Schizosaccharomyces pombe: one gene and its partners. The protein of the gene in region 3 interacts with the protein of the main gene of each other region in a biochemical or structural test. Each region holds a gene or a part of one and is shown on either strand. Other genes may lie near its edges.

Region 1 (10,801 bases), on a different chromosome or scaffold from region 3:
TAATAGGGGAATGTTCAACTCAATTAACACAGGAAGCTACAAGAATGAGCTATTTTATAACAACGTGAGTATTTCTATGAGGTGATTAAGGAATAATTTTTGAGGTTCATAGATAAAGCATTAATATATCCTTTACGTTTGTGACATAACCATTCGATTTTGGATATTATTACACAGATACTGCTCTATTTATTCATTTAGACATAACACCATGAACGAGAATGCGTATATAATACACGGTTTTAAACCAGACAACAAAACATAATTTCAGGCATTAATCAGCAATAAAGAAAAATCTAATTATAGTTTTCGTTTTTAACAAAATTTGAGGCTCTAAATGTATAGTGTATTCAAGAAGTTATTCAATATCCTCAAAATAATAAATAGAAATTATGCGTTGAACACATAATATAACTTTGAAGGCATCAGTACTCTTTATTAAATCCAAAAGCTTAGGAATTGTATTTTCATCATTGCAACAACTTATTAATAAAGCGGCATACGCAAGTTGATGAGGATGTGCCATTAAACATAAACTGCTGGCATATGAATCGTTAACAATGCTCCTATTTCCTCGATCGTTAGAAAAATCTAATCGACTGTGATTTTCAATATAAGAAGTATACATACCAAGCAAACTCAAGCTGCTTTTGATTGATAATGCCATCATGAAATGCTTGCTCAAGAGAAGTGTAGGGATGGTGAACAATGAGAAATGCATCAAGGACTGAAATGATTTCAAATTCTATTTCGGAAATATTAGAACGACTAAGTTTAACTTTTAGGCTCCAGAGATCATTAGCCTCATTGCAAATTGTGCGAATGTGAACAGGGCATTCTTCCACTTTGCATGATAAATAAATGCATGTAGCCACTAGCGCCTCCAAAGAAAAACCCTTTTCCTCATTTTTTTTTAGCATGTAACGCCTTAATAAAACGATGGCTGTAGCTAAGACACGCTGCCGAAGCCTGAGCCTGTCTCCAAACGTTTGTACAACTAGAATTGTATCAGCAAAACGAAGTGTAAATGAAATCACAAGCTAGAATAAGCCGAAAAAAATTAATGAAAATATACCTTTCCATTGATATATTGTATCTTTAGATAAGCAAGTTGGTTCCAAAGATTCCAAATCTGTGGATAAGAATAATTGTGTTCTGTAAGGTCAGCTTGAAAAAGTATACTAAGGAATAATAAAGGTTCGAAGATATTTTAAACAAAAACTAACAAAGAGGCTAAAATCGCTTTAAATTAAAGTCAACGAAACGAATGAGAAGCCGAAATAAACTGTGATTGCAAGACATTTGCGCAAAATGACTCAAACAAGATACATCCAGTTTAGTCGATACTCGTGACTAGAAGTAGACAGAAAAGCTATTCCTCTGATCAGTAATTAGACGTAGATCAGCTCACTCGCAAGCCTCAATTTGTCAAGAATATGTTCAGCAGTAATAAAATAGAAAAGCAGATATTCAAAACTCAATTAAGACATTTTAAAGAAGAATAGGAATGAATTAAAGGCCAATTACCTTCTCGTAAAACCTTTAAAATTAAAATTGATAACCTTACAATTGACTAGAGGCCCAGTAATTTGCTGCCATATATCACACGATATTTTAAGCTGATTGACCCTTAAATATCATAAGAGATAATAAAAAACAGTGTCACAGATTTTACTATTTACGATAAATTTTCATGGGCTGCTGGTATGGTCAGATACATTGACCTGTGAGGACTCACCTATTTCTCTTTACCCCGGTACACTCATTACCGGCATGAAGGATGCCAACTGAATTATCTGATATCACTATACAAAGCGTACTTCCATGTGATTATAGTTTGTTTAAAAATAATTTACGGGTTTCAAGGCTTCCAGAATCGCGATTTGTTTTTTCCCCAAAAGAAGAAATAAATTGCCAATCTCTTCTTCAAGGTCCGGAATTGGTATGTTTAATGTAAAAGGATTTTCTTTAACCATTAGAAAACTGCTTTAGATAATTTAAACTTCATTCATAAACAGAAATTTGAGCATCAATTTCGACATGGCTATTGGAAATTGCACCCACATCCGCATCATCAACATGATTCAATAATTCCTGCAAGTTGGATTCATGATACTCCGCATATGAAACTCGTCTTTCATCGTTTACAGAATTTACCTGACGGTGATCTGTTACTAGAGAATGACCCTAAAAATAACGTTGGTTATTTCATTAGCGGAGGGATTGCTGGAATCGTCTCTCGTACCTGTACAGCGCCATTAGATCGGCTAAAAGTCATGTTGATTTCAGACACTGGTTCTAAACCTTCCCCGAAGTATCCTTTTGCTACTTTGCTACATACCACTAAAGTTTTATGGAACCGTAATGGGATACGTAGCTTCTTTGTGGGAAATGGCATTAATGTTTTAAAGGTGATGCCTGAATCCTCCATAAAATTTGGTACATATGAAGCGATGAAACGAGTACTTGGAATATCTTCAAGCTCTGAAAATCATAGTCCTCTTTATTCTTACTTAGCCGGTGGCATGGCTGGTTCAGTTGCTCAAATGTTTATATATCCGGTAGATACTCTGAAATTTCGCATTCAGTGCAGCGATTTATCTCGTGGTCAGCATGGAAAAAGCATTATTTTGTCCAACGCAAAGGAACTTTATAAAAGCGTTGGGATACGGGGTTATTACAGAGGCGTGCTCGTGGGCATACTGGGTATGTTTCCATACAGTGCAACAGATTTGGGAACATTTGAGGGCCTTAAGAGGACATGGATAGGTATCTTAGCAAGTCGTGACAATGTCGATCCACAAGATGTGAAACTTCCTAATGGTTTAGTGATGGCATTTGGAGCACTTTCTGGAAGCACTGGCGCTACCATAGTGTTTCCACTTAATGTCATACGTACTCGTTTACAAACGCAAGGTACGTCTGCACATCCTGCAACATACGATGGATTTATAGACTGCTTTTACAAAACTACAAAAAATGAAGGTTTCCGTGGGCTTTATAAAGGATTGTCTCCTAATTTGTTGAAGGTAGCACCTAGTGTCGCTATTTCATATCTGGTATATGAGAATTGCAAAAAATGGTTGGGCCTAGAGTAAGGCACATTTTCTAACTATTTATAATTCTTATTGGTAGGGACCTTTACTTCAAAATTAATAATTCTTTCATTGATAATGATAATCCTTTATCGCAAAACTGATTCTTTATTTACTTTACCTAATCCCCTCTTATTTCATAGCAGATACCCATTTTTCTTGCACTACATTCTGAAAAGAAAATTAGAGATACCTCTAATCCGAATTTGTATATTTCTCGACCCAAATTTCCGTCATCATTGGTCCAATATCCACATTTCGAACAGGAATGGTGATGCCCTTAAATTGCCTTGTTGCGTCTGTTTCTCTCGCTTGCGGCGGAAGAAACCACTCTTCCCATTGTTTTGGTCTGGGAAAACCATCTTTTAGCGTTACCCGAAGCGTCCAAGTGCATTCTAATTTCAGTATTATTAGAATTGAATTTAGTAATAGAATATTTTTTTAGAAAATAATACTGTTTATACCTTGTTCAATAAGAGGAAGTCCATTTGTTATATTGAGTAATTGGATGAGCGAAGCTCTCATGTATTCAACGTAAGCATCTGTGAATGGCTCATTTGTTGAAATTCTACAATATTGTTAAAAGATGCCTATGCCAAGCTAATGATAGTCATACTGTTTCTCAAGTAAGAAATCAGGAATAATCGGGATAGAATCCGTTGAAAAGACATATCGTTCCTCTTCTCGCTGCTCTTTGTTAATAATAGAGAGTGCAACTTGATGTACTGATCCCTAGACGAGCAGTTAGAAAAAGAATTGGATGACTAAGAATACCGTCTGAAGCTCCTCGATACAAGATTGCACTACTTCTTCAATATATTCGCACAAGATCGGATGCCTTGATTGCCAGACAATTGTATTGTATTTTCGAGCTTTTATAAAAAGGTCTAATATGAGAGTTAAATCAAAAGCTAAAAAATCGAATACCTTGAGGATAGAGTCTTCTAGCGTAAAGAATACAATGAATGCTTACAAGCACTGAATTGTAAGCAAAAATGGAAGTTCAAAGTTGCACACATACAAAATTCTCCAAATATATCAATACATTCTAATAGTTTAGCAAGCAAAAGACCCAAATAATCATACTAATAACATACTTTTCACAGACCATCCTGTGTCGTTTTCCATCAGACATGAACGATACGATGATTACTATATTCAAAAATTTCTTAATATGTTCGTTCAAATTCGAGAATTCTATCTTTTCTGAATGAAGCGAGAAAATAAATAAATTATAAAGTTATTAAACCAAAGATATGCAAACTAAAAGAATATCAGCAAACATAGTAATTACATGGATTACAATAACGTACCCGCGATTATTGACGGGATTCCGTAAAACTAACAAAAGACAAATAAGATAGCTGGATAATGAACTGTTCTATTAATTGGTCAATATTTTTTTATTTTGCGTTATTACAATTTTAGCATCAATCAAATAAAATTGGACATGTGACAAAAATATTTATGGGGTAAAGTTCTGTAAAATCGTTATTTTCAAGATTAACGTGCCAAAATCCTTCGAAATTATAACAGGGGTCGCTGAAAAATTTGCCCATATATTTCAATAAATTTTGAAAAAGGAATGGAGTGGTGGGATTCTTTGAATTGCTTGCGAAATCCCTGCGAGCTTGCCAGTCTTACTTCATAGCTACCGCCTTCCAACTACTAAACGTACGAAAACATCGAAAGGACTAAAGCGGGTGTTTACTAGCATTTTATCGAGCTTAAAAGTCTTAATGAAATCTTATAATCACATTAATATTAAAAACGGAAGCGAAAAATTGCAGATAAGAAGTTAAGCGGAAAAATCAGGATTAGGCCATTTAAAGTAATGGATATGATTGATGAGGCTATAACAGAAGTTGTTAGGAAAATTGAAAGAGAAAGATCAGTTATTCATGGCGCCCTTTCCATGAAGCGCTTGACTCAGAATCAGACAGTTCACCAACAACTTCATAGCAATATTGAAGAATCAAAAAAGAGCATTATTTATTTAGAAGAACGCTTAGAAAAACTAAAGCTTCGCAAAAATGGTGTCCGAAAGAGTAATTCTGAGAAACCGTCCGTTGGCATTGAGAAGAATCCATCCTTTAGCACTACAAAATCCGCTAAAAGCTTTTCCTCTACTTCTTCTAATATCGATTCTAACTTGGATTTGCTAAATTATGATACCCCTCTTACTATTTCAAAGATATCATTCTTATTACAACAATTGGAGTTCAAATTATCTGTTGAGGAACAATATCGAAAAGGTATTGAAAAGATGGCAAAGCTCTATGAGCGTGAACATGACCGTCGTAGTATAGCTGAAGCAGAGAAGAAGTATGTAGAAAGTGCTCAAAAGATTACCTTACTCAAGCAAGCTTTGAAGCGATACCATGACTTGCATATCGAAATCGATGAGGAAGATGTTCCCAGTACGGAAAGTAGAGGTAACTTAAATGCCCGTCGTCCCCAGTCTGGTCTCCTTAAAATTACCGTAGGATCTCTAAGGAACGTCACGCATTCTGCTGGAATCTCCAAGCAAACGGAAATGATAGTTGCAATTCGTGCAGAGGATCTTGAGCGTGCACGTACTCGTCCAAGCCGCACCGACCGTTTTAATGAAACTTTTGAAATTGATCTGGAGAAGACTAATGAGGTCGAAATAGTTGTTTACGAAAAGAAAAATGAAAAATTGCTATTACCTGTTGGTTTACTTTGGATACGGTTATCGGATTTAGTAGAAAAACAAAGGCGAAAAAAGGTTGAACAAGAGGTTTCAGATAAAGGTTGGGTTAGTGCCGACAAAATGATTAATCAAAGACTTTCAATATTTTTACCTTCTGCTCTTAATAATATTTCAAAGCCTGAAAGTACTGACCGCCCCAACACAGCTAGCGGTAATCAAAGTGTGAGTGCTTGGTTTTCTCTTGAACCCATGGGACAAATTAATTTGACCATGAATTTCACAAAGCATAATACAAGGAAGAGACCTATGGATGCTGGCCTCGGTCGTCAAGGTGCTATCCGTCAACGCAAGGAAAGCGTACACGAAGTTTATGGTCACAAATTTCTACAACATCAATTTTATCAAATTATGCGTTGTGCTTTATGTGGAGAGTTTTTGAAGAATGCTGCTGGTATGCAGTGCATTGATTGTCATTACACCTGTCATAAAAAATGCTATCCAAAGGTAGTTACTAAATGCATTTCAAAGTCTAGCGATTCTGCTTCTAGCGAATACGAGAAAATCAACCATAGAATTCCTCATCATTTTGAATCTCACACAAACATAGGTGCTAATTGGTGCTGTCACTGTGGCTACATCCTTCCTTTAGGAAGAAAAACTGCCAGGAAATGTACGGAGTGTGGAATAACTGCGCACGCTCAGTGTGTTCATCTTGTTCCGGATTTCTGTGGTATGTCTATGGAGATGGCTAACCGGGTTATTTCTGAGATTCGTACAACTAAAATTTATAAAGCTCAACAACATAAACAGAAAAGTTCACATCACAAGCATCATCATCATAAAAAGTCTAAGTCTTCATCTTCGAAACATAAGGAAAATGACAAAGCATCCGTTTCTATTACAACCACCACAACACCATCTATCACTCCTGCAGACCCTGTTCCAACTTCTCCAAAACCACTGGCAATTGAACCGGTTAAAAGAAAGCCTGTACATGCCGGTAATTTAGAAGTGACATCAGTCTCTGATAATAAACTTGGCGCTACAGTTCAGGTTGTCGAGCAGAAAGTGGATGACAAAGCTGATGCGTTGACGAAACCTCCTTCCCTAGATGCTGTGAAAGAGCCAATCCCAGTACCATCAGTTGAAACCTCTGTTGTTGCTCAAGACCTAACGCATAAAGCTAAGCGTATCGGACTTGAAGACTTTACTTTCTTATCTGTGCTAGGCAAAGGAAATTTCGGTAAAGTAATGCTGGCTGAGCTTAAAAGTGAAAAGCAATTGTATGCTATTAAAGTTTTGAAAAAGGAATTCATCTTAGAAAACGATGAAGTCGAAAGCACTAAATCCGAAAAACGCGTTTTTCTCGTTGCCAACCGAGAGCGTCATCCATTTTTGGTAAACCTGCATTCTTGCTTTCAAACCGAAACCCGTATTTACTTTGTCATGGATTTTGTGAGTGGTGGTGATTTGATGCTTCACATTCAACAGGAACAATTTTCACGTAGAAGGGCACAGTTTTATGCTGCTGAGGTGTGTCTTGCTCTAAAATACTTTCATGATAACGGTATCATATACCGTGATCTTAAGCTTGATAATATCCTTTTAAGCCCAGATGGTCATGTTAAAGTGGCCGATTATGGTTTGTGTAAGGAAGACATGTGGCATGATAACACTACTGCCACGTTTTGCGGTACTCCTGAATTTATGGCACCGGAAATCTTATTAGAACAGCAATATACGAGAAGCGTTGACTGGTGGGCTTTTGGTGTACTAATTTACCAAATGCTGCTTGGTCAATCTCCATTTAGAGGAGAAGACGAAGAAGAAATTTTTGATGCAATTTTATCTGATGAACCTTTGTATCCTATTCATATGCCAAGGGATTCCGTTTCTATATTACAACAACTTTTGACTCGCGATCCTAAAAAACGACTTGGATCTGGCCCTAACGATGCAGAAGATGTCATGACTCATCCATTTTTTAGTAACATTAATTGGGATGACATCTATCATAAGCGAACTCAACCACCGTACATTCCAAGTTTGAATTCACCTACGGACACCAAGTATTTCGATGAGGAATTTACCCGAGAACTCCCAGTTCTTACTCCTGTTAATTCTATTCTGACGAAAGAGATGCAGCAACATTTTGAAGGTTTTTCTTATTCATGCGAGGATGATAAACCCTCGACTACCGATAATGCTTAGCACCTTAAATTGAGCATAAAGTTACTCTCATTTTCTTAATCTTTCATTGCATTGATAAATTATTCTAATTTCGACTTTTTAAACTAAACATTTTTGGATTTCTTTACTACCTGGGTTGTATCTATGATATTATAAGCATGCACATTAATAATCCATACAGTGGCATTAGACTTTTGTTTATGAAAGCACTAGCAAAGTAGTAATTTACTGAGTTTAATAATTTACCGTTTATTGGTCAACAGCTATAGTGCTAATATATGTTAATATCCATCGCATTTGTATCTATGGAGCAAAATTTTTGGATACATTCAATGAAACCCGCCAAATATACCTATGCTTAAGTAATTGCTTTAGTGCAACCCTGCATGTGGGTCTTCTGGTTGTCTTTCGGGATCAAGTTTGATACTAGTATCGATACGTAAAATAGCAATGCATGCCTCAACGGCGCTCTTCAAACTTTTCAACTTAGACATGGATGGCTCAAGAACACCAGCCTTAACATTATCACGAATTACGCCATTAAGTAAATCAAGACCATAATTTTTGTATCCCCGTTTCTTAACATCTGTAACCTCAGCATTTTGACTGGCTGCGTGATAAGCACGCAACTTAGCTGTCAGTTCAGTAGAGTCTTTGGCGGCATTGACGGCCAAAGTTCTGGGAATAATTAACAAAGCTTGTGCAAACTCAGCAATTGCAAGTTGCTCACGAGAGCCCAAAGAGGTAGCAAAATTTTCCAAGTAAATGCTCAGAGCTGTTTCCACAGCGCCGCCACCAGGAACGACTTTGCCGCTCTCAAGAGTGCGTTTGACGACGCTTAAAGAATCATGCATTGAACGCTCCATTTCATCTAAAGAGTATTCATTGGGGCCTCGCAGAACAATTGATGCAGACGAATAAGCTTTGGTTCCTTTGACAAGAATACATTCATCATCCGAAAATTTTTCTTGAACAACCTCTTCAGCCGAGCCCAAGTAGGAACTTTCAAAGGTTTCTTCACCCTCTAAATTTGACAATGAACTGAGTAAGGTAGCACCGGAAGCCTTGGCGATACGTCTCAAATCTTCCTTTTTGCATCTACGAACAGCCATTGCGCCAGCTTCAATAATGGATTTCAAACAGAGATCATCAATGCCCTTTGTGGTAAGAATAACATTGGCACCCGCATTGAGAATTTTTTTGACGCGTTCCAGCGTAATCATAACTTCTCGTTCACGGATCTTTTCAAGTTGATCGGGGTCATCAATCGTCACATGCACACCTAACGCCATTTTAGTTTTTTGCAAATCCATATCCAAAACAGCAATTTTAGCATTCTGAACACGAGTTTTCATAGCTTGACTGGCAATGGTACAATTTAAAGCATAACCTTTAACCAGGACGGACTCTCGAGAACTTTTGCCATGTGCCTTCAAAATGTTGACAGCTTTAACAGGGTAACGGGTCTCACCCTTAGAATTAGAAGTTTTGACGGAAAGCATTGCGTCAACAGCCATGGTTGAAAAAAAGTCTGAATCATTACCAATAATTTTTGAAGACATACTGGTTTTGGCAACGTTAATAAGACTCTCTTTTCCCAAACTATCTACGCTGCAGCTCAAGACATCTGTCATAAATTTTACGGCTTCACGGATAGCAAGTCGATAACCGGTTATAATAGTAGTGGGGTGAATTTTGTTTTTGACAAGCTCATTCGCACGTCTCAACAATTCAGCCGCAATAATGACAACACTAGTAGTTCCATCACCTACTTCTTTGTCTTGTTGTTGAGCTAATTCAACCAGCACTTTACCAGCAGGATGTTCAACATCCAATAATGATAAAATGGTAGCACCATCGTTTGTAACAGTAACATCCTAATACAAGTTAGATAGAAATAAAAGAAAGTAAGAAAAAATATAATAAAAGATGAACTATAATGGCAGGAATACTTATTAATTCGATTCACAATATAAGGTTGACTCTTCCCTGCCAATTAAGATTTCCTTAAATGCGAGAAGATTACAACACTAGCGTATCAAATCAATAAATATTGGTTAAAGGCCAATATCCCCCATTATTGTCTAAAATTTTCTTTTCTTCACGAGGTCTTTAACATACACCAATATCGTCAACGAGCATTTTGTCTAACCCGACAGGACCCAAGGATGATTTGACGACATTCGCAATTGCGGTCGTTGCCAAAACTAAAATGTTAAAAGTTATGAAAAGAAAATTAACATACCATTTTGGTTTCGTACGTCCTCTCCACTGATTTTTTCACCACTCAAAACTACAACATGTTAATAATTTACCATCCAGCGCAATATTGGATGCTTACAAAGAGTGGATTCTCTCGGTGCTTGAAACATTTCAGCTAGATTCGATGTTCTCCTCTAAACTGATTAACAATCTTTGTTTACACGTTTGGCAGACGTCGAGGGAGGAAGGTTCTTTGAAATGTACTAAAAGCATTCAAACCCTCTAAGTGTTACCTCATATAGCGTAATGTTACCCTCTTGGTGGAAACTAAAATTCTGCAACACAAACTACCTGTGCACTATTTGCAGCATAGGGACAATTAACAAATTCAATAATTTTGATTTACGAAGGATGTCTTTCACGTTTGAAAGCATTATGTAAATTTATCGACTGCATTAAAAAATATAACAATTTGGTTGACTACACTGTATTTAATGATAGTGCAGTTTAATCATTGAGAAAGCCCGGTCAGTTTGTTTACCACTGTATAACTAACAGTTTAAAAGCCCTTAAAAAAAGACAACTTAATGAAACTAGATACTTAAATTACTAAAAGCTGTAAGGGAATTGAAGTTTCAAC
Region 2 (11,166 bases), 3.8 Mb from region 3:
TAAATTGTGAAAGAAATACCGATTTTTCTTAGTAAAAACAACCACCCATGAATCATTATTAGGAATTCTTTTTCTAAAAAAAAAGTTAATAACAAAATTTTACGCCTCACATACTTGAATTTTGGTCTGTCCGGTAATTGTTTCCTCAAATCTCGAGAATTTTTGCGCTCTTCAGCATTTTCATTAACAAACAGCTTTTCGCTTGTGTTAAACGCCAAAGAAGCTTGCGAAGCAGTAACAGAAGATGAATGGTTTTTCTCAATGAAACTTGGGCGCTGGTAAGTGCTTTTTTTTAACTCGGCATTCCAGTAATAAGGAATCCCACTGGGTGCTATGAGTTAGCAAATAAACTGCTCATTAAATTTACCTTTATGTTCAGTCCATCCAGGAGGCAAAGGCTGTGACATTAAGATATGTACAATCAAGAAGTTAAGTTCGACACTATGTTAGGTAGTATTCAGTGGGCGTGTGTGTGAGAATAGATAGAACAGTTTTGCAAAATCCAGCTGAATAGTTATGTCAATTACAAAAAAATTTCTACAAACTATTAAAAAAAATCTGTATAAATTGCATAAATTCATAGGTGTAGTTAACATTATTGAATATACTACAAAAACCTCATAACAGCACCGCACGTAGCGTCTTCCCAAGTATTTCCTTTAGAACAAATAAGAAGTTAATGAAATGGTCTACCAAGTACAATATAATAAAACATTTTCGAGAACTTCAATTTTAATATTGTCAATTTACAACAACCCGCATAAATTTACGAGCAATTCATAACTCGTGGTAAATCGTTAAACGGCAGGCTGGAAGTATTTGTAAGCAGCTACATTTTTACACTAGTATTGACTCCTCTGGTTCAAATATTTTTACAAGCAGATTTTAATTATTAGCAACCTACACTGATAACTTTATATCTTGAGGATATGAAAGTACTAAAGGTAAATTGATTATCGTAAAAATAGCTCTCATTTATAAAGACATTTGTTGTACAGCATAGCTTGTAAAAATAAGCGGATTAACAACATACTAATTTAAATCATAATAGATTAATTGTATTAGAAGACAGGTAAAAGTCAGTCCTGTTATAGTAGTGTAGTAAGCACATAAAGAATAAAGCAAGTGTGGTAATCGCACTTCGGTAGACCTCATTAATGTTCGTGATCTAGTGCTTCGCGCATTTTCGAACTTGTCATCAACCAAATTCATTATGTCAAGAAGCTACGATTCTCGCACGACTATTTTTTCACCTGAAGGTCGTTTATACCAGGTTGAATATGCATTGGAAGCGATCAACCATGCTGGCGTTGCTTTAGGGATTGTAGCTAAAGATGGAATTGTTTTAGCTGCTGAAAAGAAGGTTACCAGCAAACTATTAGAACAAGAAGAATCCGCAGAAAAGTTATATCATATAGGAGACAATATGTTATGTGCTGTGGCAGGGCTTACCGCAGATGCAAACATCCTAATTAACTACGCTAGAAGGGTTGGGCAACAATACTTGCAGACTTTTAATGAAGAGATGCCTTGTGAGCAATTAGTTCGTCGCGTTTGTGACCTCAAACAAGGTTATACACAGTATGGTGGGCTACGTCCATTCGGTGTTTCATTCTTATATGCTGGATGGGATCATATTCGTGGATATCAGCTATTCCAATCTAATCCATCTGGAAATTACGGAAGCTGGCAAGCAAATAGTATCGGAGGAAATAGTACTAGTGTTCAAAGCTTAATGCGACAGGAGTATAAGGATGATATAAACTTAGATGAGGCTTCTGCTATGGCCGTGAAATTTTTGAGTAAAACGTTGGACAGTAACTCCCTAACTCATGAAAAAATTGAATTTGCAACAATAACAAAGGATACCACGAAAAACAAAATGGTTTGCAAAATATGGAAGTCAGATGAAATAAATGAAGTGCTCAATAAGTACCAAGAGACCCAGCGGCAATCTTAATATTGCCTTACTCAATTCATTGGGAAAACACTTTAAGTGTATAGCTGTTTTTTATAGCTTTCGTCGTTACCCTTTAATCTCCTTGTAATTAGCTCATGGTTTTTGTAAACAATTTGAAGCAAACTAAGTTCCATCATGAGCCTTATTCCGTCTCAATATAGGCTTGCTTTCTTTTTATCTACGCTAAATCATTATCTTATGAATTCTTATGCCGTTTTAAAAAAGGCTTTTTTCAAGTTTCTTTTATACTTAGACCTTTCTTTCTCATTCCCTTCATAACGTCAATTTCTACTTGAGTACACCATTCCGGCATATTTAAAATTATAGTATTTCCAATGGAATGTCAATGACTCTCATATGTTCTAAACTATATGCTTAGTTTTCATAACTGAAGATTTTAAACGGTGTAGCATATTCCAATTCTATACTATTTATAAAAATAAGAGAAAACTTTTTGATGAGTATTATTAACTTTCACTTACATATTGAAGGATAAAAAAAATAACTATTGATATCTAAAAAAGGAATAGTAAAACAAATAATCTAATAATCGATGTAGTATAGACTAGTTGGCTATATAAATATGTTGGTTTGACAACCTTCCTTAGCGTTTAGCTTGGATTCATACTCTTCAAGAGTCCACTTTGCGGTATCTAGTTCACATTGTTTTCTAATTAAACTGGCTTGAACTGATTGCTTTATAAGCTTAAGATCATGGTTGAAGCGATCATACAACAGAGGGATAGACTTTTTAGAATCTTCATTTAATCGAGTCATTTGAGCCAACCTTGCAAGAGTCAGATGATATTTGCGTCGTAAATCCTCGTATGCCTCTCGTTCTATTTGACCAGGTAAAATTTCCTTAGGGTGTCTTTCCGGCATTTCTTTCATGGCAATTGCTTGGAATTTCGATTCATCTAACTGTTTATCATTATTGGAATTCGCAGGGGAAACCGGAGTCGGCAATTCCTCTACTGTTCCAAAAATGCGATCACTGTGGTATGCAAGGTAATAAACAAGTTCTACAGCATTACTTCCAAACATGGAAGGAGCCAAGGCAATTGCTAGTTGTTTCGTAACAAAATCACATTGATCTTTAAGAGGAAGTCTCAAAAGCAAACTACGACGTTAGATAATAAAACCTCTGAAAAACAAGCTTGGTGACTTACTCGGAAGCAATAGAAAAAATGTTCTCAAGGATCTTTAGGCTACTCTCGGGTAAGTCTTGTAAGATTTTTTTCAAATGATAAACTGCATCAGTTGAATTGAAAGATAGATCTTCAATGTTAGTTAAAAAAAATCAAATTTGATAGCGATACATACTTAAATTTTCAACAGTATTTAACTGTTGTATGAATGAAGAAGAAAGCAAAACTCCAAATTTTCGATTGATAAAGGAGCTCAAATATTTTTGAAAGGTCGCATAAATAATATTTGGTGGGTAATGAGAGAGTAATTCTTCATTAAAAGTTTCCTTCAAAATATTATCGTACAGCTCATCCCCCTCAATCTTCTCCTTTTCAGACAGTGGATATAGTAAATTCTTTAAATCTGCTCAGTTAACGTTATGATCCAAATTGCAATATTACCTGTATGATATTTAAATCCGCCTTTGAAAGCTTCAAGATGTTCGACAGTTTTCTCAGCAGAAGCCTTCGAAGTATTATGAGTATTAAACTTCAATGATTTTTGTGAAATATTATTATGGTCCAAATTGTACATTTGCGAAGGAAGTGTAGCACAAGATTTTGATAAACCGCCTTGATTATAAAACCTGTTCAATGATAAACTGATTTTAGAAGGGCTTCCGGGCCTTCCTCCAAATGATAACCTACTTTTTCGTGGGCTGGAATTAGCAGAAAGCAAATGCTGTATAAGGTTTGAGTATAGATCCAAGCTTGAGAAATTTCTATTTGAAAAAGGGCATAGGAGAAGCCTTTTTATATTAATAAGATAATTAAGACAAGCCTCCCTAAGGTCTTCCTTAGCTATAACAGCTTCAGTAGGCAAACTGACACCTAACCAGGAATCGAAACTTAAATGAAAATCTTCGTCTTGTTGAAAAAAAGTAATGACAATATTACCGTCTTGCAAAAATTTATGCTTATCAACGTTGGCATCATTGGTGCATATGCATACTATGTCTGAGCGTTTTGATTCTTTCTCATACTCAAATCGTGAATAGTTATTAAAAAAAACCACAAAGTCATTGAGTTTTGAAAAACTAAGGCAGGAAGGCTGGCTTTTGTTCATTGAAAGTGCTTTTTGAAAAGACTGATAAAACCTATCCATAGTTCTTACATTTTCAAAATCGCAACGAAACTTCAAAATAGGATACTCATTAAAAAATGAAGGAGAAGATGCATACTTGGAAATTAAAAAAATAGTATTCTCCTCAACCATACTTCTTGTCAACTCAACCGCTTCATTCATATTTGAACCGATATATTGAGCACGCTTTTCTTTGGAATAAGAATTGCGAGGATTTTGCTTACGAAGATCCAATATAGTTGAGGCAATACTTGATTTGGAGCGTCTTTGAACAAGACAAATTCGATCATTGAATAAAATTAGAGTATAAGGTATTAAATGCAGTTGCCCGTTTTTTAGAAACTCCCTAGTCACGTCAATACAATCTATGAAATTTCGAGAGTTAGATATCATGTTTGGTGCTAAGTCAGGAATTATATGTTGTAAGCCAGCAAAAATCCTTGATCGTTCTTCGGCATCAACTGTAGGCATTTCTGCAATATTTTTTATAATCTCAACTGAGCGCACGTATGTATGTTGACATTCTCCTTCTTGTGTCAATAATATAATCTGATCTAAAAATAGTGAATATCGTGGAATCCTTTGAACTGGTTCCATAATAAGCTGACTCAAACCCACATTCATGTTTGCGTTAAGCTTTACCTGGTCATGGAATTCAACAAATTTGGGTATTTTTGAAGCCATCTTTAAAACATTACCAAAATCATTACTTTGCTCAAGGTAACGAGGATAATGTTGTGAAAAAGCGAAAAAATGAGATTCAAAACAACAAGCTAATCGAAGATCAATTTCTTCAAACTTTTTTTCGTCTATATCTTCAAAATTTAAATCACTCATGATTGCCTCAAACTCGTCAAGAAAAGCAGAATTGAGCTGAATTAATTTGTTAAGACAAGGCGGAAATAGGGTGTTTAATTCATAAAGTCCCAGCAATTTTTTCGAAGACTTGGCCAAATCCCGTAAAGGGAGTGCATAATCATTAACTAAATGGCGTAGTCTCTCAACATATGTGCTCTCTGTTTCCATCATCTCAATGAGTAAACTCTTTTTTTTTTGAATTGCAGGTATGGTTCCGGCATCTTTACTAGACGCAAAACTCGGACTCGGACTTGAAGTCTTTTTTCGTGAATCCTCAAACATTTCCCTACTTCCTATAACGGTTTTCCAATAAGAGTTAGAAGGGTCTTCCCACCAAGAGTTATCAACCTTTATGTCAAAAATAGCATCTACCACGAATTCGCGTACACCATTCGGCTCGCCAAGAGAATAAAGCTCACGAGTGAGAGAAGATGACTGGAAAACGTTTATTGTATCAAAAATATAGGAAGCATACTCAGGTTCAATGACTGACTCTCGCCAATTTTCGCCTGTATGTAAACATACAGATTCCACGCAAAGAAACTCATATACGCATGCAGCAGCTTCCTTATGCATACTAGCAATTTGCCATTCTAGGTCCAAAGTTTGCGCAAAAGCATCCAACTTCGAAGAGAAAGGGTAACATATAGAAAACGTGTCAGGTCCCAATTTCGATAAAGCATAAGCTGCTAAAATATGACCATCAACTTTGGCAAATGAAATCAATACCAAACCCATATTTGGATGATTGAAGGTACAAAATACATGATCTTGCTCAAACAAAGGATTCATTTGTAACAGATCCCTAAAAACCCATAGACCTCCAAATTGAATGCTAATTGCTAACAGTTCAGCACGCGAACCCATCGTGCCGACGTCCATGGTAAAAATAAATGAAAAAAGTAAGATAAAGGTCAATCGCGTAGACAAAAATATGAAACTTAACTTCGCCAAATATACGTAAACAAGTAAGCTTTTTTTCAACAACCGCAGTTAAATGTGATGGCTTGATAACCTGTAAAACTTGTAGAAAGAAAAGAAATAGAGGTAGCAAAATCCCTTAAACAGTAAAACAAATAGTATATTGACCAGTCAAGCAAAGCTGAAGAAAAGTTTTAAGCAAAGAAGCAATGGTTCCCAAGAAAAAGAATTATTAAATAAATTAAACCTTCAAGACTTTTTACAAAAGATCGATAGAACGGAACTTGATAGAAATTGTTTTTATGCAACTCAAAAATTATTAATGATTATAAGAAATCTCAATTCAATGTTTATTAGTGAAAGTACTTCCAGTTATACAGCTACAAAAGAAAAAGGAATAGACCCAATTCAGGGACTATATCCTAATCTCACTTGAAGCTTCCGAACCTGCTTCTCCGATGTGGTTGTTTGAATTAGGTAGTTTTACTCCATTTCTCCATTCACCGATAGGACATATGGTAATTTTCTGCAGCGAAAATCCGCTACAGCTGCTAGTCTTTTACCATATTATTAATTTAATCTTTTAGTGATCATTTTCTTGTTTTCTAACAATAAAGTAAAATAGCAACCCAAAGTCAAATCTGTCATTTATTGAGATCGGGAATTACTTAATAGACAAAAAAAGAGACATTAAATGGAAGCGAATGAAGAAAGATGCATTTTATTAAAATACCCTCATCCAAGCTCTGATATTTCTTCTGAATATTTATTGTTGGAACTAGACGACGATTTATTAAAGACTCTGGAAGAAAATCCTGAAGAAGAGTATGTGTTTCCTTGTGTATAAATAACCTGAAGTTGAATCATTACTTTTTTATTTTTTATATCGCTATTTGACAACTTATGATCTAACATCGATAATAGGATTGTCTTTAAATCAGATTTTGATAAAAAGGCTTCAGTACTCTGTACTTCAGATAAAACGTATGCTGTGCGTCAAGTGGTTCAATCAAACTCGTATTTGCTTTTTGATGAGCTCAGTCCTACCGACTGGGTATTAAATGACACATGTTATTCATTTTTAGAAGTTGAACGGATTTATGGGTTTATTTTTTCAGACGACAAAATTTCTTATTGGGACGAAGATTCTGTGGAATTGGTATGCATTTTATTGAATAGTTAGCCTTTCACTAACAGTCTCAACAGAAGCCCATTTCACTTACAAAAGATCAATTTATACGATCTGTTCCTGCTAGCAGAAATGAAGTCGATTCATTCTTGCAGAAAAACTTTTTCATGGTAAAGAATGAATTCTTGTACCGATTATCACCTTCTTACATATGTTCAATTATTGACTGGATATTTGTTATAGCCCAACAGTTACACATAGACTTTGCAAGTTTTGAGTTTAAGATTTTAAAAAAGCCAGCTATGGATGACGAATTTGATTGGGATTCAGTAATTTGTGTTCTTGAAAGTATCTCTTCACCCATTAAGGACAATGTCTTACCTAAAAAATTCAATATCGATTTAGAGTTGACGACTTTTTGGTATGGGCGATTTTTGTTAGAAGGCATCAACAGTATAAGCTCCGATGAGTTCATTCAGTTATGGGATAATCGTCTTCCGTATCCTTGTAAAGGACTTCCTTCTTTGAATTTATTAAAGGTAGGGCATTTTAGTCAGCTAATGCTAAAACTCTTTAGGGTTATTATTTTCACGATACCCCAAATACGATTCAGTATTTATCAGGAGATCAGTTACCGAGAGAACCAAGTAGGCGGTTTCAATCTTTGTTTCAACTTAAGTCGAAATGGTTATATGAAGAACTTTGGAGTTTCGTTAAAGATCTTGCCTTGTCGAAATCAAGAGTTGAAGCTCTTATATTGAAATATGGGCGAAAACAAACCAGTAGGGACGGTGTTTACATTAATTCTAGAGGGACATGGTAAAACCTTATTTGGCCGGTACTATACAGGTTGAAAACTTGATTTTATTGTACATTATTTTCGACAGGATTATGAAATCAATTAAAATTTTAATCAAACTTAAGTTTTAAATATTAAGACTCTGGGTTTTATCAACAATTTCTGAAACAGATCTAGGAGCAACATCATAATGAAAGACAACGTCGTCTCCAGATCGCCAAATTCGAGCCTTAACAGTTGCCAATGTCATTTTGGGGGTAACGACGACATCTTTGCATCTAAATTGAAGGGATGATACATCCTTTCTTTGTTGGCTAAGCTTGCTATAGCTATAATCCATAATTTTCTGAGCACGAAGCATAGCACTAGCACTTAAACGAGTGTTTTCATTTACAATAAGCGGTAAACCACTTCCAGGAAAAGGCTGAAGAGTAAAATTAACAGTAGGGGCAGTTTTAGAAGGAAATTCGTTTAATAACAGTAATCTTCCAAGCCAAAAGGGCATAATATTTTCAAGTAAGTCAATATCGTCAGCCATGTTCTCAAGAGTAGAACGATATATGTCACGAGAATTACCGGCTTCAGGAGATTCTTCGCTGATGATAACAGTAATCTGACTCGAAAGATTTAACATGGGAAACGTATCATCGTTTGGTGGTTTCATTAAACTAAGAACGGTGTCTTTATCCTTAAAATGTACATATTGTTCATGAAGATCTTCAATCAACTCACCAGTCGTTTTCAGCTCTCGCGGGGTACCAGGTGATGATGCCTCTGAAGTTTGTTGCTTATCTTTAGCTAGTGTGTTATTTTCTGTATTTGCAGCATTATTAACAGTATTATTAGTTTTAGACAATGCTTGCGGAGAAGTTACCGAAGTCCCGGTACTGAAAACGCGGCTTGACGCAGCTCTCTCTACAGAAGCTTTCATAAAATCGGTTTGTAATGATTTGGATGACTTTGATCTTCCAAGTTTTTTAAGTCTGCCCATAAATGAACCTTCACGAGTTACTTTGGGGGGAATTATCTCTTTCGTTCTCACAACAGTAGGGGATCCAACTACCTCAGTATGTGGCTTTCTGTTACGATTTTGCCTGGCGGGGATCGAAAAGTAATCTGGCGCACCCATCATAGAATCTGTATCTGTTAAATTTGTGTAAACGGGGTTGTTTGATGGAATTTGAAGAGACGGACCAGGACTTTCGGGGGGAGGCTCGAGGGGGAATGGGGTAGCGGAATAATCTATAGTAGGAGAAAGTAAAGGTTCTGGAGGAAGAGATAAAGGTGATGGACGAGATCGAATCCTCAATGGAGACAAAGCTGATGGCATATTCACATTTCCCTTTCTTGCTTCTTCTCTCTGGGCTTCTATCTGCTTCTTAGCTTCAGACCTTACAACATCTAAATTTTGTCTAAATTTTAAATCACGATGAAGCTCGGCATCAATAAATTCACGAAATAAATTTTTTAAAATCCACACCCCTAAGTTTATTCTTTTATCAGAAGGGGAATCAACCTTCAGAAGAGGACATTCATCAGCATAAATTTCGGCATCCATGTAGTGATTTTCATCAAGAGTAACAGCAAGAATCCCCAAAAGGCAATTAACAGAAGCCCACCTAGGTATTGCTTGAACAGTATCCAAACTTTGAACAATCTTTTCAAAATCTTCTGACTTATCAAATTCCCCGGCTTGCTTACAAGCAAGTATATCCCACAAACATTTATTGCCGACAGCGTCTTCAGTTAAGACATGCCTTCGATCACCCAACATTCGATATTTTAACAAACCAATACCACCATGAATAACATAATCAGGGGTTTTGGTTAAATTGATGTTAGAATAGCTCTCAGTATGATGCAAATCATAATATATATCCTCAGCATCGTCGTGATATAATGTTGGACAGCTATGATTTCGTATGTCAGAAGAATGTCTCGAGGGACAGTCCGATGATACAGAAAGATGAGATGAGGTATGCTTAGATAATGCTGCTCCCACGTCCTGATTAAAGAGGGGCTCATCCTTCCAACGAAGAATGGAGCCATCACGACTAGTACTCCATATGAAAGATTGACGAGCAACAATGTCAGAGACAGGAGCATCCTGCTTGCATATTGCAGTACAGCTTTGGTTGTTAGGCTGGTTTCTTATATCAGTACGAGTAATCAAGCCTGAGCGATCACCAGCATAAAATACTTTTAAATCTGGGTGCTCAGAATATAATGCCCATACACTGTCTGAATGAGCTATGAAAGAGAATAAACATTTTTGCGCCCTTAGAGACCAAAGCTTTATTGTAGCGTCTGAAGAGGCTGTGAGAATTGTTCTGCCATCATCACTAATTAGAATATCTCGAACATTGTCAGTATGACCGACTAAATCTGTAATCCTTTTCTTGGAAACACAATCCCATAACTGAATGTCTTTTTGTAGTCCGCCGTTAGCAATTATGTTGTTATTCGCTGCCAGCGAGTAAACACCAGATCTTGGACCAACAACAAGAGAACAGTCAGGTAACTGTTCAAATCGCATAACTTCTTGACCTACGTTGTAGTCCCATACAATTATCCTTTTATCCAACCCACCCGAAGCGACTAACGGACTCTTGGAATATTTGGGAATGCTTACGCGCTTTACGTAGTCGGTATGCTCGCCAATTGTTGATAAACAAGAAGCATTCAAGACATGTGGCTTCCAGAGTTTCACCGTTGAATCAGAAGAACAAGATATCACTAATAAATGTTAGAACGTCAATTTCTATAAGGCTACCGCTATTCTCCAGAGATAATTAAATTTTTCAAAGGCTTACCTCCTTCGGAATCATGTGTTAAAGCTATATCATTTACCCAAGCAGAATGAGCCTGGATTTTGGCTAAGGGCTGGGAAGCTTTACCATAATCATACCCGATGTCCCAACCGAAAAGCTGTCCATCTCGGCCACCACTGTAAAGTGCTCTAGTAACTGGTGCTGACCCTTGTTCTGAAAAGTACCGACCTAGCACTAGACAATTAGCATCCAAACGGTGCCCTAGTTGATCGTTACAGGAATCAAGAACATAAGTAACCTTGTACCGTTTCCGAACACTCATGAGAACAATAAATGAATTATTAATCTCTTAAAACAATGCAATTATAAACAAAAAATCCAATTCAAACGTAAAAAATAAAAATTTATATTATATGATGTCGAATTCAATTTATTGAATGAATTCAGGTTCAAAAGT
Region 3 (8,725 bases):
CTTGTTGAGGTTACGAGTAACGACCTTCACGACATCGTGAAGCTTTTGGAAATTGTACTTTCCGTCTTTAATAAATGTGGGCAAAGCAACTGAAGCAAGGTTACAAACAGCAACTTCGTCAGGAGAAGAGTATTCAACAATCTCAGTACACAGGTTTGAGCAGCGAATAGTACCAACATTCTTCTGATTGGACTTACGGTTGCATGAATCCTTATACAACATGAAAGGATTACCAGTTTCAACTTGTGATTGAAGAATGGCGTACCAAACTTTTTGAGCAGGTAATGAACGACGACCACGGTTCTCCTTCTCATACTTTTCGTAGAGGGCAACAAACTCGTCACCCCAAACATCTGCCAAACCTGGAGCCTCATTGGGGCAGAAGAAGGTCCATTGCTCGTTACGTTCAACACGTTGCATAAACAAGTCAGGAATCCACAAGGCATAGAACATTTCGCGTGCGCGGAAATCCTCGTTGCCATGAGTCTTTCGAAGTTCTAAAAAGTCCATAACATCGGCATGCCAAGGCTCCAAATAGGCTGCAAAGGCACCAGGACGCTTATTACCTCCTTGGTCAACATAACGAGCTGTGTTGTTGTAAACACGAATCATGGGGACAATTCCGTTGGAAGTACCATTAGTTCCAGCAATATACGAACCGGTTGCTCTAATGTTGTGAATATTAATACCAATACCGCCAGCGGTCTTGGAGATCATAGCACACATCTTGAGTGTGTCGTAGATTCCTTCAATAGAGTCGTCTTTCATCGTAACGAGGAAACAAGAAGAGAGTTGGGGACGAGGAGTACCGGCATTGAAAAGAGTTGGTGAAGCATGGGTAAAGTAGCGTTGAGACATCAAATTGTATGTTTCAATAGCAGCTTCAATGTCCTCACCGTGGATACCAACGGCGACACGCATAATCATATGCTGAGGGCGCTCAGCAACTTTGCCGTCGATACGCAATAAATAAGAACGCTCTAAAGTCTTGAAGCCAAAGAAATTGTAAGTGAAATCACGATCGTATATGATAGCACTATCTAATTCGTCCTTGTGTTTCATTACGATATCGTAGATTTTGTCAGAGATCATGGGGGCAGGCTTGTCTGTTTTGGGATTTACATAGTCATGAAGCTGTTGAACGACAGTTGAAAACACCTTCTCGGTTTGCTTATGCAAGTTGGAAACAGCAATTCTAGCAGCCAAAATAGCATAATCAGGATGCTTTGTAGTCATAGTCGCGGCAGTTTCAGCAGCTAAATTATCCAATTCAATAGTGGTAACACCGGGATACACACCAGAAATGACTTTTTGAGTGATTTCGACGGGATCAACATGATCGGAATCAAGGCCATAACAAAGCCTCGAAACACGAGCAGTGATTTTGTCAAAGGCCACTTTCTCTTGACGTCCGTCTATACAGTTAGTACATTATTGCTTTTCGATTCAATGTCAACAGTCAGTCAATTTTGAATACAACGCCACCAGCAACGAATCTGTCAGCAATCAACCGAACACTTGGAAGTAGAGCAAACGGCTAAAAGAACATTTGCTTAAACATCTCTGCACACAACAAACAGTGAATACTGAATGACACGCTTAAACAAATAGAAAAATCTCAGTTTCTTTAAACATTTACTCCCCAGTAAAATCACGACATTTTTCGAAACGGCAACGTTGTAACAAAATTTCTACTAATCTTCTAACTGTATTTTATTTCCTGTTTCATACCTCTTTTGTATACAAACATCGTGTTTGTTCTAGTTTGTAAGGTGGTAAATACCGGGAATATTTATAGTAAATGAAAAACGCGTTCAGACGCGTCACGCTAATATAACGTGATGCCGCGTCGCGTCATCCGAACTTTAAGTCATGTTGATCAATGTAAATAAATAAAGCTAAGAGTGGAAACCGGATCATTTTTGTAGCTCTACTATATCTAAAAGACGTTAATTAAGACTTGCTAAATAGATTTATCTTTTTCACTTCTGAACATCAAAGTTCCGCTAAAATAAGTCCGACTTTTAAAAATTAAAAAAATATTTTTTTAAAAAAACGCGATTAAACATGTTGAAGTGGTCTGACCTGATACAATACATTCAACTGTTACATTTATCTTTTATTAAACATAAAAAAAGTGTTTATAAATACTCTGTTTACGACTGAATGTAATAAATTAAATATTTATTTACGCGTCTCAATTGCAACGCGACGCGACTGTTTACATAAATTAAACACGCGGTCCAACCCGACTACCAACCTGCTCTATGAGATTGAACTACTAATTTCTCTAATATATCTAGATATCAATTTCCCCTTGTTCTTTATATTACTTTTTGATGTTGTCAATTACCTGTTGGAGAAGATCATAACATACAATTGATAAAGTATTGTTTCCTTGATTTATAAATTGTAAAGCTAAGTTGAGTTAGCTTTTTTGTTAAGACCTCTCAACTTTTAGATTTAAGATTTTGATTCCCATTTCTGTTGTAATATGTAACCTTACTAATGCTTTACATTAAAGCATGAAGATTTCGACTCTGCATTTTACTTATAAGCACTATAAAAGGTACACATAGAGATAGACAAACAGCTTTTAGTAGCTACAAAAACTTTGTTCTTTTCCCTTTAATTCACTATTTGCTCCCTCGCAATTATCCTTTTTTTTAGGTAAAGTCAACAATGCTTATATCTTCATCTGATAATCTTGCCTGTAGACAGAGTGAAAATCAAATGGTAATACAAATGCATAGATAGAATAACAACGGTCACCTTCAAAACATGAAATTGCAAACATTGGTATGCTTGACGTAAAGAGAATGAGATATAAACAGTGTGCAAATTTCCGCAAAATACAAAATGTTTAAACCATCAACTACGGCTATCTGCTACTTCGACTATCAACGTGTATAAAAATACCAAGCGCCTGTATACCAGCAAGGTTATCAACAGAGATAATGTCGCTTCAATTTTCTACAATAATTCTAGTGCAAAATTGGAGACCCAGCTAAAGTTCCACGATAATAAGCAATTACGTGCTGTGAGAAAGCTTATAAAATATTCGGGTTTTGATCGAGTTTCAATCGAGGTGTATATTCTTTAAATTACCGATTTATAAAAATTTACCAAGTCCTTTGACTAGGTAGAAAGGATAATAATGATGGCAATCCTTAACAAAAGAAACAAGGTATTATAGGAAAAATAAAACCATGCAATAACAAGGCAATAAGGGAAATTTTCTTCAAACTAATAGCGAAGAGTATAGCAAAGTAAGCAAAGACTGAAAACAAGACGCATACTCCTTGCAGGTGCCTATACGTTGCAGAACAGTGAGGGGAAATGGTAGAACAGCTATATGAAATGCGCTTAAATCATTGCCAAGCTGACTAAATGGCACGACTTGAGGTAAGTAAAAAGGAAAGAATGAGAGGATATAATGACTATGTAACATGATAGGCCACACAATGCAAAACTCCCACCAAGGTGAAGGTGAAATAAAAATCAACATAAGTCGAAAAAATACGGAAACTTGTTGAATGTGCTTCGACTGAAGAGATGTATAAAAACAGAAAAGATAAATTCTCTAAGTTAAAAAATTTGGAAACAAGCTGTTTACAACAAGATACAACGCTTCTTCTTCTTAGTTCCACTAGAGGGCTTCACTTTGGGCTTGTGTTTGAGCATAGCAGCACGAGTGGCTGATTCAAAAACCTCACGAACACCTTCATTCGTCTTGGCAGAACACTCAAGGTATTTGTAAGCACCAATCTTCTGAGCTACTGCTTGACCTTCTTCTGTGGTGACGGGATGCTGATTAGTCTTGGATAACTCCTCAATAATTTTTGGGTCGTTACGGAGATCAGCCTTGCAAGCGACAAGCAAAATAGGAAGACTGGAACAGAAATGGAGAACCTCGGAAATCCATTTTTCTTGAACATTGTCAAGAGAATCGGGAGAATCAACAGCAAAGCAAATAAGGATAACATGTGAGTCAGGATATGACAAGGGACGTAGACGGTCGTAATCTTCTTGTCCAGCCGTATCCCAAAGAGCCAACTCAACGTGGCGTCCATCAACCTCAACATCAGCTACATAATTTTCAAAAACAGTGGGAACATAGACCTCGGGAAAGGTTCCTTTAGAAAATACACTATAAAGAAAAATGTTAGAAGTTGTATAACAATGACACAGACTCGTGAAACATTGCAGATAAGCAAGCAAAGAGTAAGTAGAAATACAGGGTACGGAGTGCAAATTAAATCCTCGGAACATTTATTAAATGTAATCTAAACCCCATCTAAGTCTCATTTCTATGGGGATTCTTTCATTATTTTCTTGAGGCAATGAACATGCTTACGGAAATAATTTTCTTCTCCAGCCATGCTAAGCAAGAGATGTAAACCCTTGCCAATTTAAAACAGGCCCAAGCAACTACTTTACCCTTCTACTACCTTTCCGACGCTTGCACCATTTTTACTTACATTAATAAGCATGTTTTACCACATGCACCATCTCCCACAATAACGAGCTTTCTGCGAAGTTCTGTCGCCATCCCTAGATTTGTTTACTTTCTCCTGCTCTAGACAGAAAAATTTCGACGTAAATAAACGTTTTTCGACTCAAATTCTGACACCGCTCTTTCCTTCGATGTGGCAGTGGTTAGCTATTTACTAGGCTGTCAGCGGCTCATGTAACAACGAAAGGAAAGAAGGAGACGCTACTACACTTCACTAAATCTCGTTACTTTGCCCTAGCGCTCTTATAGATGAACCCTTTGAGTATGTATGGACGAGGCTGAGCCTGTACAGAGTGTAAAGTGCAATTAAAACAGTTTTATTACAAAAAGATTGTCTCCACTCCGACTTGATGTCAACAGACGTTTTTTTGTTTGAATCACAAACGCCAAAAAAAGCAGAAACCAGCGGAAAAATTTCGTTAACGTATTCAGTTTAGTCATAATATTCGAAGATAACGGAACGCATTTAATCCGCTTATCCTATTTTAACGTACACACTTTATTTCAGTATTTTATAAATAATAAACATAGCAGGAATATAGAAACTTTTGGAAGAGACATAAAGAAGCAAAGCTTCGTATAAATAGCTATAATTATAATTGTATACTCATAAAATTAAACAGCATTCTATTTGTAAAATGCAAATGTGAGATGAATTCCTAAATTCAAAAAGCGGCAATTTTTGGTGCCGAAAAATAATTTTACATGTCAGATTGAAGTAATAAAGCAATATTACGATGCTCTTTCTTTCTATCGTCGTTTTGTTTGCTCTCTTATTTCTCGAGATCAATAAAATCCTACTTTAATTTTACTAAAATTATATCGCCCAAAAAAATATTGATCCGGTAGCAGATCTACAAATATACAAAAATGAAATGTAACTTTAGCCTCTTTTATTCTTCTTCATAGTTAAAATAAAACAGACGGTTTCAGTAGATCTATAACTTAGCTCTTAACTCACTACTTTGTCTCTTTTAACTTTTGCCATTGATTCATTTCAGTACTGGAGAACATAAGACCAATATATTAAACAGTTTGAACAGCGCGCCCTATAGATTTCCCACAAATTGAAAGAGAAAAAAGTCCTGAGTCGTTATTATTGAACATCTATCAAATTGGATACCGTATTATTGATCGCTGACATTTCATTTTGTAGTTGACAAGAAAAGAAAAAGCGGGTTGAGTAAACTTTACCTTTTAGTGCTTTAATCTTGTTTATAAAGTGAAAGTGGTTGAAAGCTGTGTGGCCTCTTAATTATACACATATATATTTACGCGGTTACTTTTTTTTTATAGTTTATAAATTAAACTGATAGCTTTCGATGATGCCATCATCAAGTTTCCAACAAACTCCCAAACCCGTCGATTTAGACGATCCAAGGTTTGAACAGTACGATTGCTTGCCATGCCGCTTGGTGGGCGCAGGCGCTTTCACAGGTCTAGGAATATATGCCTATTCGCAATCTAGAATTCCTTTGAATACACCCAATTACAAGCTTAAACGATTCGGTATTTTGGGAATGGCTTATGGATTTATTCTTACCGGTGTCTATAGATTGTTTCAATAAAATGTTAATAAACGTCGTTTTCTATTATCAGTTATCTTAAGACGTGAAGAAGTAACTTGAATCAGAAGTAAATGTTTTTTACTAAATTGCATTTTAATCAAACGGGTGAAGTTTTTTTGCTTTCTGATGCACATCCAACAAATATGCTTAAATGGTAACTAAACCTATACACTATAACAATTATGGAATAAAAGAAAAGAAGCAGAAATGAAGGGAAAATTCTGAAATATAATTAAAAAAAGAACCATAAATAAAAAAAAGGATGCGAATACACTAAATAGTTGACTTTTGTCTAAAAATAAGATTTAGACATTGATTGCTTATTGAACCTCCTCGTCGAGTTCATTGTAAGAATGCTTGTGTGAATTGTTTTAAAGGTCTTTTACCCCAAACTTTGTAGAAAATTATAGTTTAAAAAAATCTCAGAGACAACAATTGTATAATAATGAAAGAATGTGTAAGGTAGATGGAATGTAATATATATGTAATACGACACAACATTTTCCATCCACGTTTAACGAAAAGCATTGTTAGGTAATGGTTTGCGTCGACGTTCAGCGTTGTTATTATTTTCAGAGATGCGGGTATAATCTGATTCCATAAATGGTTGTTCGACGTCAGTATTTCCACGAAGGTTGGCATACGAAGCTTCTTCGATAGCGTCCCAAGGGGAAACATATTTGTTATTTGTGAACGTACTGTCTGAATCATTACGATTCGAAAACGGATATTCTGGTGTATTAAGGTCAACGGAGCTTCTCAACGTAGTTCCAGAGTAAGCCGGATCAGAGAAGGCCATGTCGGAAGAGCTCATATCCTTAATAGATTTGTTATACGAGGTAGCCTTCTCGCTTTGGTCATCGAGGATACGGTAATAAGTACCATGTCCTGATTTACGGAACAGGACGATAAGTGTACGTATAAATATACCCAGGATCAAAAGAAGCATTGTAATAGCGTTCAATGCAAAAAATATAATGCCAATAACTTGACGAGCTAATTCCTCCACATAAAAAGCTTGACACATCACTAAAATAAAAGAACCACTTATCAAATTCATTAAAGCAACACCGATATGCAAAGTATTCATGTGTTTAGTGGCATAAGGTCGGAGAATCACCATAAGAGCAAAAACGACAACGCTAATACCAAACATGGCACAGCCCTGGACTTTGGGTGAGCCCTGACCAAAACCGATGAACATTGAGCGTACCAAGGTTATAAGCAACAGTGGGAAAGTAAAGTAAAAGAAACGGACGTCTAATTGCACGTACATAAAGCCCCAACGCATCAAGTGTTGAGTGTCAGAATATAGGTTGTACAAGACGTCAGGATGGGAATAAGGTCCTGTTTTGCGGATAATTTGAATTGTCCGCACAAATGCATAGCAGAGCAAAACTGCCATGTCCACAATCACGTACATTGATAAAAATGCCAAAGCGGAAGAATCACGAGTATAGATTTCCCACATGGACAAAACACTCATTTGAGTGAATCCGACAAAAATCACACGATAGAAAAATCCTTTGGATATAGATTTCCAATAAAGACGGATACGTTGCTTTTTCAAAGCTTGATTTCTGGATGCAAGGAGCACCATTTCAACAATAAATCTAGAAGCCATAGCAACTAGTAATGAAAAGAACAACAATATAATAAAAAAGGAAAACCCAGTAGCAAAGAAATTCGTCGTTTCAATCCCCATCATATATGAAATACGCTTGATTCCCCTCAGGGTAATAGAATCACTTGTGCTAGTGGTGACAGTAGTAGTTGCACGCTTGGCGAGAGAGCCCAAATCAATACCACGTTTTGCGAGGGCGACATTAGCATGTATACCCAAATCTACAAGAGTAGATGGCGTGCCGCCAGTTGATTTAACGTACCATGTAAAAACATCTTGCATGAAGCCAATCCTGATAATACCCATCGACCACATGAAATTACGGCCCCAACTGTAAATGATAGCAGGAAGAGAAGTAGCCATCATGGAATACAAAGCCTGGATTTGAGCAAACTGAAATAAGGTAATCATCGTTTCAACGATTTCCCAAAGTGCGGGTGTTTGAAGAACAGGGGATATCAGTAAGAAAATTAAAAGTGGGATACCGATTACCATACACATAACCCAGTAAACAGCTCTGTGGTAAACAGAACGACCATTTTGCACTGTAGTACGAACACAAGCTAATTGTGTGTTTGTATCTGATTCATAAATATTAATAGTCACAACAGCATCTAAATCCGGAACTGTGTATGCAATGGAGGGAATACTATCAAGAATAGAAAGAGCCTCTCCGGTTAAAGTATGACTACCAGATAAAGCAATATTTCCAGTCTGCATTGGACAGAAGCCAGAAATTTCCATATCGCAAGGATCTATCACCTTCTTTATTTCGATTCCGTATGCACTAATGTCGACGTCTATACTGACATTCGTAGAAACAAGAGATTGTATCGAGATATCAAAGGCAACAGATTGATTGTCCGGAAAATACGAGGCATAGAGCTTACTTGCTGATAACTGTGAATCAGTCATACATGTGGACAGAGAGTCGGCGGAAATGAATCTGGTTAAAGCATCAGCCCATGAAAATAGCTCGACGACCACAACTAAGAGTAAAAGTGGGCTTCTCCAAAG

What was found.
Region 1: the proteins of rho1 (region 3) and pck2 form a complex in vitro, tested with the Schizosaccharomyces pombe proteins (one study listed by BioGRID).
Region 2: the proteins of rho1 (region 3) and gef2 form a complex in vitro, tested with the Schizosaccharomyces pombe proteins (one study listed by BioGRID).

The regions. Positions count from the first base shown.
Region 1 is NC_003423.3:2,306,966-2,317,766, reverse strand, and holds pck2 (protein kinase C (PKC)-like Pck2), read left to right. Parts: upstream 1-4,758; 5' UTR 4,759-4,929; coding exon 4,930-7,980; 3' UTR 7,981-8,330; downstream 8,331-10,801. Other genes in the region: cyclin CycC-like Srb mediator subunit Srb11, read right to left, coding at 359-566, 631-997, 1,076-1,155, 1,568-1,599; SPOM_SPBC12D12.05C (calcium-binding subfamily carrier protein), read left to right, coding at 1,781-1,942, 1,980-3,098; DNA polymerase zeta Rev7, read right to left, coding at 3,291-3,490, 3,560-3,663, 3,712-3,827, 3,870-3,982, 4,023-4,073, 4,117-4,143, 4,193-4,223; chaperonin-containing T-complex alpha subunit Cct1, read right to left, coding at 8,331-9,836, 10,081-10,166, 10,205-10,252, 10,301-10,331. UniProt on the Schizosaccharomyces pombe protein: Involved in the control of the cell shape. Target of the inhibitor staurosporine.
Region 2 is NC_003424.3:415,271-426,436, reverse strand, and holds gef2 (RhoGEF Gef2), read right to left. Parts: upstream 6,496-11,166; 5' UTR 5,972-6,495; coding exon 3,550-5,971; exon of another isoform or gene 3,512-3,549; coding exon 3,284-3,511; intron 3,239-3,283; coding exon 3,130-3,238; exon of another isoform or gene 3,081-3,129; coding exon 2,534-3,080; 3' UTR 2,446-2,533; downstream 1-2,445. Other genes in the region: splicing-associated factor Dre4, read right to left, coding at 1-73, 115-331, 368-407; pre9 (proteasome core particle subunit alpha 3), read left to right, coding at 1,214-1,960; Ctf18 RFC-like complex subunit Dcc1, read left to right, coding at 6,705-6,835, 6,935-7,169, 7,217-7,678, 7,717-7,962; bun107 (WD repeat-containing protein), read right to left, coding at 8,066-10,674, 10,752-11,031. UniProt on the Schizosaccharomyces pombe protein: Has a role in the control of cell polarity and cytokinesis. Involved in bipolar growth and septum formation.
Region 3 is NC_003424.3:4,220,007-4,228,731, reverse strand, and holds rho1 (Rho family GTPase Rho1), read right to left. Parts: upstream 4,662-8,725; 5' UTR 4,553-4,661; coding exon 4,482-4,552; exon of another isoform or gene 4,410-4,481; intron 4,247-4,409; exon of another isoform or gene 4,151-4,246; coding exon 3,613-4,150; 3' UTR 2,908-3,612; downstream 1-2,907. Other genes in the region: ribonucleoside reductase large subunit Cdc22, read right to left, coding at 1-1,415, 1,732-1,750; protein tam6, read left to right, coding at 5,839-6,084; plasma membrane TRP-like calcium ion channel Pkd2, read right to left, coding at 6,599-8,725. UniProt on the Schizosaccharomyces pombe protein: Involved in the regulation of cell wall growth and actin cytoskeleton organization. Activates (1,3)-beta-D-glucan synthase.